Sus scrofa: one gene and its partner. The protein of the gene in region 2 purifies or fractionates together with the protein of the main gene of each other region. This does not show direct contact. Links are inferred from orthologs where the notes say so. Each region holds a gene or a part of one and is shown on either strand. Other genes may lie near its edges. The genes, in order: KPNA3 and KIF22.

Region 1 (4,289 bases), on a different chromosome or scaffold from region 2:
ATAGATTCTGAAACTACATTATTTCATCTACATTCAAAGAAGCTCACTTGCCCAAAAAGCAACTATTAGTGTTATATATCCACATTTCTCCTGATCATTCTTACGATGACCCTAAAGGAAGATGCTAGACTGGAAGAGTCTGCAGACCAAGGCTTGACTACTTCCTGAGGGCCGAGAAGATTATGTGCAGAGGTGGAACAGAAATATCGAGAGTACAGAAATGCAGGACCTGCCAGAGTGAAGGTTGCAGAACCGAGCTTGGGAGAATGATGAAGACAGATGCCGGAGCACTAATCTATTCAAGCATTTATTGAGTATTCATGACATGCCAGGCACTGTATTAACGGAGGGATTCAGCAGTATACCTAACGTCCCTACCTAACTGAGCTAATTCCGATACGGTAAACCAGATCGACACACACACATATCACATACATACATATATACATGTCAGGTGGAAATAAATGCTAATTATAAAACTAAAGCAGAGCAAAGGAACAGCGAATGAGGGTGGCTGCTATTTCAGGAGACCCCCGTGCCACCCTCCCCCCCCCCCGCCCCCGCAAAGAAGCAAGAGAGCAAAGCACCAGCCGTGCATCGGTTTCTAATTTTCTAGGCTACACGGAGCTAGGTGCACCTCCCAGGAAGCTCCGCCCCCTCCCTCCCAATAGGACGCAAGGTGCCGTCTCCGAGGAAGCTCCTCCCACTCCCCGCCCAGAGGCGGCCTTGGGGGCGGAGCCTCGCGCCCGGGCTCCCTGAGCGCGCCGCGCATAAAGACGCGCGCTTAGGGTTCCCGGCATTCTTCTGATTCTGTCAAAGCCGGGAGAGTTACCCTCGCTAGGGAATGGCATGCTGGGAACTGTAGTTTCCTCCCGCAACCCCGCGTCCCGGGGGCAGTAAAAGCTGCTAAGTTCGGCTCCATTGCTGGCACCATACTTGAAGCCCGGCGGGGTTGTGGGGAGGATTTGCGGAGGGGCTGGGGCCGGGGTCATCCCGAGTACCACGTGGAACTTATCCAGCCCGGCGAGCGTCCAGGCCGGAGCCCGCCCCGGACACGTGACCCCGGCCTCCACAAGAGCGCGCCGTTCCAGAGCACGGTTCCCGCCCCGCCCGTCTGTCGGCCTGCGCCTCCCCCGGCGCTGCTGCCACCTCGCGCTCGGAGGCGTCACGGAACGTGCCCGCCTTTCCCCCTCCTCCTCCCTTTCCCTCCCGCTCTCCCCCTCCTCCCCCTCCCGCGCCGAGACTCGCCGCCGCCGCAGCCGCAGGAGTAGCCGCCGCCGGAGCCGCGCGCAGCCATGGCCGAGAACCCCGGCTTGGAGAACCACCGCATCAAGAGCTTTAAGAATAAGGGCCGAGATGTGGAAGTGAGTGTGCTTTCGCTGCTGGGGCCCTCCAGGCTCGCCCGCCTGGCCGCGCCGGCCCCGAGGCGGCGGGGAGGGGCGGGGGGCCGGCGCCGGGCTGGTTTTCGCCGGCTCGCGGTGGGTCGGAGTTAGCTACCGTCTCCCGTCACCGCGGCCAGGGGCTGGGCGGAGCGGGCGGCGGGACGCGGGCCGGGCTGCAGCCGCCTCTCGAAGCTGCCGGCGCGGAGTCCGGGAAACGCCGGGGTTTTCGGCCCCGTCACGCGGGCGCGGCCTGCTGTCGGCGAGGAAGAGATGTGGAGCTGAGGCGGGGTCCGCGGGCTGGGGCCTCGCGGGCTGGGGGGATGCTGCCGCCCGGGTCCATCGACCGCCCCGCCGAGGGGGCGGCCACGGCTCGCGCCCGCTGCCCGTGCAGCCTCCTGCCCGGCGCGGCCCCCTCAGTGCCTCCCGCGCTGCTGCACATGGAGCCTCGGCTCTGCCGGTCCCCGCGCCTACCTTCTGTGAGCCGGGCCCAGGCGGGCGGTGGCGGCCCGCAGAGGGGGGTGGGGACCAGCCGGGTAACTGACTTGTTTGAGGGTGGTGAATGGGGGAGGGTAGGATGCGCTAGGACCATTTTCTTATATTCCAGTGCGGTTCTTTGGACCAGTCGCGCTTTGCTTTTCCAGCTCATACTCCTGTTACTGCTGGCATTTGGAGCAAGCTGAAGGTGGACAATAGTTTACCGTCTATTGTGTTGAGGCTTTGGAAGAGACGTTGTTCCGACCTCCGCTCACAGGACCTCTTTTCTTAGCCTTTTCTTGTAGTGAGGGTGTGCATAGGGTAATCATGTCTTTGAAACGTTTTACTGAAATAAATTGGATACATAGGTTCATACGGCCTTGCGCTAAGCTGGTAGAATTTCCAAGTGGTTGCAAAACTGTAAACATTGATCGTGTTCACTCAGTTCGTTGCTACTCAGCATGTTGCCATTGTCTCATTAAGGTGACATTAGCAGGTACTGTTTGCAAACTCGGCTTGTCCAGGCAGCGCTAGAGGTCTCTCTGCAGCTTCTAAAAGCAGTGTAGTTAGTGTAATGCACAAACTTCACTGGGACTCTGACCTCTGGATTGTTGGGGGAAAGTGGTTTCAGGTCCACAGCCTTCTTTTCTTTTACTAGGTGACATGATTTGCAGTTTTCTCATTCTTGCTAAGCGGCCAGTGTGACGAAGAAGTGCGCATTTTATCCTGTCTTAAAGAGAGAAGGTGGTGGGGAAAATATACCGTTCAGTGTTCTGTTTTGTAGAAGAACAGACAAAACTGAGGCCGTTTTTCGGAGCCACAAAATTAAATAGTAATTGGAGAAAAACGTAGGGAAATGCCTTGGAATTTTCATATTATTGAGACAGATAAAAGTCATCTTTTTTCTGTCCTGGTCATTGTTCAATTTTACAGTGAGAAATACTTGTAAGCAAAAGTGCAACTTAAGAATAGCAGTAAGAAATTTGGAACTGCTTCTTGTTATTGGTCCTCTTGATGATAGGTAATTTTGAACCGTAATCATCAGTCATTTTTCTTGAAGCTTACCTCTGTCATAAAGCAAAACTTAATGTAGTTTGAAAAATACTTGTATTGTTTGTACAGAAGAACTAATTAACATTCTTCCCCCCCCCCTTTTTTTTTTGCCTCTATTGTGTTTGGGGATCTCAGTGATACCTAGTAAGGACTCCTTTGCATAATATGCACACAGTGTATCTCTGCTAAAGGTCAGAATGTGATCAGTGACTTCTAGATGCATAAAAAAGATATGAAGCCTGAAAATAGCGGTCACATTACAATTCTTAGAATACATGAGGGAGAATAACTAAGGCATGAAATAGCAGACATTCAAATGGTAGTTCCATGTGGCAGCCACTATACTAAGAGCTTCATGATACCTCTTTTAAGCCTTATGACAACTTTATGAGCTAGGTGTAGCATTATCACCACTTTACAGGAGGAAAATACTTTAGATGAGGAAACACAAAAGTGCTTATACAGTCTGCACAAGGTCATGAAGTGGGTATGAGCATTCATTCATTGGTCTACTGGGTATCGAACAGTGTTTGGTTTGTAACTCAGGGATTTTTACTTTTATAGTTCAGTAGGAATGATAGGAAAGTAAACTGATGATTACAGTGCAGGACATCAATAAGTGTATTCTGAGACTGCATGAGAAGATTTTGACTTGGAGCTGAATGGTCAGGGGAGAGTTCTGGTTGATTCCTGGTGGATGACTGGGAGGGAGCTGATCCTGAAGGATGAAAGAAAGATGGCCAAGGAAGGGGCATTCCAGAATGAGGGAGCAGTAATTGAAGAGTCCTGAGAGACTGTAGGACTGCTGAGAGAGATGGATACTGGAGATGTGATTAAAGGGTCAAATCCGATCAAGCGCCTTTTTTGTGAAATTTGGTATAACTGAGATTAGACCCCCCATATAGTCTTATCCATTAGGAACTGTATTACACTAGAAACTTACATTGCACCTTAGCTCTGTGACTAAGTAGTAGTGATTATTAGGCTATTCAAAAAGTGAGATGTACTTTGATGAGCTTTCATTTCTACCTTTTCATACATGGGATAGATAAAAGGTAAAACATATTATGAGTGATATAGCTGGACGATACATAAATAAGATGCTAGGTACAAAAATAAAATAAATATTTTTAAAGAAAATAACAGTGTGGCGTTAAGCCAGGGAATTGTGAGTAGGGAGAGGGCTGAGGAAGAAAGTAGTTTCATAGTCATTCAGTTGGGAAAAGCTTCGTGGAAGAAAGGTTGGTGAATTTTAAGGGAAGTATGTACTAAACTTGAACAGGGCATATGAGATATTGGTGAATAAAGAACCAAGTGAGGAGTTCCCACTGTGAAATCCAGCTGCAGCGGCTCTGGTTGCTGCGGAGGCATGGGTTTGTT
Region 2 (3,810 bases):
GGGATGCTGCCTGCTCCTGAACTGAAAGCAAGAATTGTGAACTGGAGTCACGGCCGAGGCTACTTTTTGGCCCCCTGGTAGCCATTTGGTTCTTCGATTTCTGATTCCCCAAGTCACCTCAACCCCAGTTAACTCTCTTTTGTTGGGTTGTTTTTTTTGCCACACATGGCATGTGGAGGTTCCTGGGCCAGGGATTAAACCCACGCCACAGGAGGAACCCAAGCTGCTGCACTGACAATGCTGTATCCCTAACCTGCTGCGCCACAATAGAACTTCTCTGCATGACCATCCCATTCTTATATTTGAAAGTAACCTCAGGAGTTCCTGTTGTGGCTCAGCACTAATGAATCTGGCTAGTATCTATGAGGATTTGGGTTCCATCCCTGGTCCTACTCAGTGGGTTAAGGATCCGGCATTGCCCTGAGCTGTGGTGTAGTTCGCAGACGTGGCTTGAATCCCCTGTTGCTGTGGCTGTGGTGTAGGCTAGCAGCTGCAGCTCCGATTTGACTCCTAGCCTGAGAACTTCTGTATGCTGTGGGTGTGGCCCTAAAAAGCAAAAAAGGGAGAAAGTAACCTCCGTTGGTCTTGCAGAATAATCAATCACGCATTTGTCAGTCTACCCCACTGTACTAAATGCTGGAGGGCAGAGCACCCAGATCTACTTCAGATCCCTCTTCCTTTCCCTGGGGTTGGTGTATTGTGTGAGGACATGAGTGACATGAGGTCAGCTGCCCCAAACAATAACTCCCTTCAATTATCTGGGTCTTCCTGGCCCCCAGAGCCAAACTTACTCAGTTGTAAGGGCATCACCACAGCTCTTTTGAGGGGCTTCGCCACTGTGACTGTGCGGCGGGCAAGAGGTCTGAGCGTGGTAGGAGAGTAATTCTCTTTTTCCTTTGGGTCTGCAGCCTCCTGGGCCAGCACCTTGGCTTCCAGTTCTTTTTGCTTCATCTTAAGCCTCTGTTAGAAAGGATTGGGAGAGATAGGACCCAGAACCAACTTTGGGGCAGTTTGAAGGGCAGCGGATTAGGGATGCGAGTGTGCAGGGCTCTGAGGCCCTAAAGGGGCTGGGTGAGGACCATTGGGAGAAACTACCAGGAGACAGTGGAGCCTGATGTAATTAAGAGCTTTCTAATGATCAAGGCTGCCTAGCGGTGGAATCAGCCTCTTTGGGAAATACTGAAGGATTGTTCAAGCAGAGTCCTAACTTAATGTGAACTGAGTTTTAGGGAATGGCAGTGTCTTGCATCTGTTTCTTTTACCTGGAATTTTTTGCCCTCTCGTCTCCTCACATCTGATCTCAATTATTTTTCAAAGTTCAGCCATGCGAAGGACATTCAAGAACGAAAGGATTCCAGTGTTGGGTAAAAACAGGGTGCTGGTCCAGCTTTTCAGTGTCCTTCCCTACCTGAAGATCCTCAGATTGCTTCTCAAGGCCAGGAGGAGTCCCAGCCCCAACCCCCAACACTTACCTCAATTTCCAAGTCCTTCTCCTCCACTGTCTTCATGAGCACCATCCGCTCTCGCTTCGGGGTGCTCAGCAGAGGGGTCCCCTGGCTCCCCTGGGAGCCCAGCAGACGGTCCAAGCTCAGGAGGCGCTCCAGCATAGCTGGGTCCATGCTACTCAGCTTCTGCAGGGGGCTGAGCAGACAAAGTTGACTCCTCACCCTCCTCTCTTTACTGCCCTCTGTAGCAGCAGGATTCTCCTCATCATGCCTTAACATGGTATACGCTATGGTTCCAGAACCCTAGTGTTAACTTGCTGGGCAAGCCTGAACAAGTCATCCAGACTCTCTGGGTGCAGTGGCGCTCACTGTCTGACTGTGATTGATTAGGTGTCAGCAAGGGCCGTGCGCCTGTGCATGTGGAGGAGGAATCGGTGAAAGCTTCACCGAGGAGGTCATCTTCAACAGGGCTTTCAAAGCCCCTGAAGATCTCAAATGCCAAGCCTCCCTCCTGTGGGCAGCAGGAAAGCCCTCTTCAAACAGTGGCCTGCCTTAATCCGAGCATGGTAATGCCTCACATCCGGTCCTTCTGTCTGGAATCCCCCTCACATCTGACCTCGATTATCAACGTCAGCCACCTTTCCCCTGATGCCCAGCTTGACTGTGTATCTTCTTTCCTACACTGTGAACTAGCTCCTCCAGGACAGAGACTGCTCTGTTCTTTGTGAGCAAGTGCCAAGAGGAGCAGGATCAGAAAATGTAGATGAAGGTCTTTCTTCCTTGCTGGATCTCACAGAACAGGAGGGTCCACCTTCCTTACTGTCTGCTGTCAACCTTGCATCACATACTGATTCCCAGCTTGCTTCCTCGGCTAAACCGTGAGCCCCGGCGTCAGGGGTTGTCCAGGTCTGATGTGCCCCATCTCTGAGCCTTTCTGGCAGAGACCTTGCCTGTTCACAGGTAACATAGATGCGTGGGTGTGTGTGCTTCTCCGAATTTGGATACATGGGAGAGGGGACTGCCAATAAATGGCATGAGAAAGACAAGATCACAAGCTAAGGTTGTCAGTGAACACAAGAACCTAGGCACCTTTTTTTTTTTTTTTTTTTGGCTTTTTTAGGGCTGCACCCATGGAGTATATGGAGGTTCCCAGGGTAGGGGTACAATCAGAGCTGCACCTGCCAGCCTACGCTCACAGCCACAGCAACACGGGATCTGAGCCACATCTGCAACCTACACCACAGCTCATGGCAATGCTGGATCCTTAACACATTGAGTGAGACCAAGGATAGAACCCAAGTCCTCATGGATACTAGTCGGGTTTCTTAACTGCTGCACCACAAGGGGAACTCCACCAGGCATCTTTTTGTGTATGCCATCCTTAACTACTATAGCCCCCGAGGCAGCATAAGCACTAATCCTTGGCCTCCTCAGGTCACCTCTGTTCAGTAGTCTTCAAACTTATACAATTTAGAGAGGCTCTATGTGGGCTAGGAGTAGAAAGATGGCAGAGTTCAAACTGCAACTCGTTCTTTGGAGTTAGGGAGGGCCAAGTGGCCAGACATAGAAAGCAAGACCACTAAACATGGGGGGGCCTGAATATTAGTGGCTGCTGGGCCATGAGGTGGGGCTGTCAGAACTGGGGAGGCCACACACAGAAATGACTTAATTTAGAGGCTTTGTTTGGGGAGTTCCCACTATGGTGCAGTGGGTTAAGAATCCTACTGCAGTGGCTGGGGTCACTGTGAAGGTGCAGGTTCGATCCCTGGCCAGGTGCAGTGGGTTAAAGGATCCAGTGTCGCCACAAGAGCGTAGGTAGAAGCTGCAGCTAGGATTCAATCCCTGGCCTGGGGAACTTCAATATGCCACGGGTGCAGCCATTAAAAAAGAAAAAAGAAAATAGATGTTTTGATTGGATTGAGGGTGGAAGCAGGGAAAAGTTAGGACGGCAACTAAACCCATGGAAGGTCACAGAAAGGCTGGACTCTTAACACACAGACTGAATCTCAGCGAGACATTTCTCTTCATCCTTGGGACCTGAAAGACCTGATCCTCATTTACTCCTTGAGCCAGAAGCAAAAGTGCTCATCCTTGGAATACTGGTGGCAAAATATGAGATTTTTGTTGACTGCCTAAAGGAGTTGGAAAATGGAAAGCAGGATGGTGGGGGGGAGGTGGGGGGAGGAGTGCCTGGAGGCCTCCTTAGGGCCTCTGGCAGCAGCATCAAGGCTGGAGATCTTAGCACTTCAGTGAATTCAATAAAGTAGGATTTGGGGTGAATCCGGTGGAAGCCCAAGTTCACAGCTCAAGGATCTTACAGGCTAAACCCACTGCTACTGCACACCCAATCCAGACATAAGGGGAA

The links.
Region 1: the proteins of KIF22 (region 2) and KPNA3 purify together in Homo sapiens (affinity purification with mass spectrometry; 3 studies listed by BioGRID and IntAct, counting the BioPlex papers as one, with this or other methods). This does not show direct contact. The link is inferred for Sus scrofa from reciprocal best matches to the Homo sapiens genes KIF22 and KPNA3.

What each region holds. Positions count from the first base shown.
Region 1 is NC_010453.5:17,946,945-17,951,233, forward strand, and holds the start of KPNA3 (importin subunit alpha-3), read left to right. Parts: upstream 1-1,265; 5' UTR 1,266-1,295; coding exon 1,296-1,364; intron 1,365-1,676; exon of another isoform or gene 1,677-1,702; coding exon of another isoform or gene 1,703-1,858; intron 1,859-4,289. UniProt on the Homo sapiens protein: Functions in nuclear protein import as an adapter protein for nuclear receptor KPNB1. Binds specifically and directly to substrates containing either a simple or bipartite NLS motif.
Region 2 is NC_010445.4:18,036,581-18,040,390, reverse strand, and holds part of KIF22 (kinesin-like protein KIF22), read right to left. Parts: intron 1,642-3,810; coding exon 1,473-1,641; intron 961-1,472; coding exon 792-960; intron 22-791; coding exon 1-21. UniProt on the Homo sapiens protein: Kinesin family member that is involved in spindle formation and the movements of chromosomes during mitosis and meiosis. Binds to microtubules and to DNA. Plays a role in congression of laterally attached chromosomes in NDC80-depleted cells.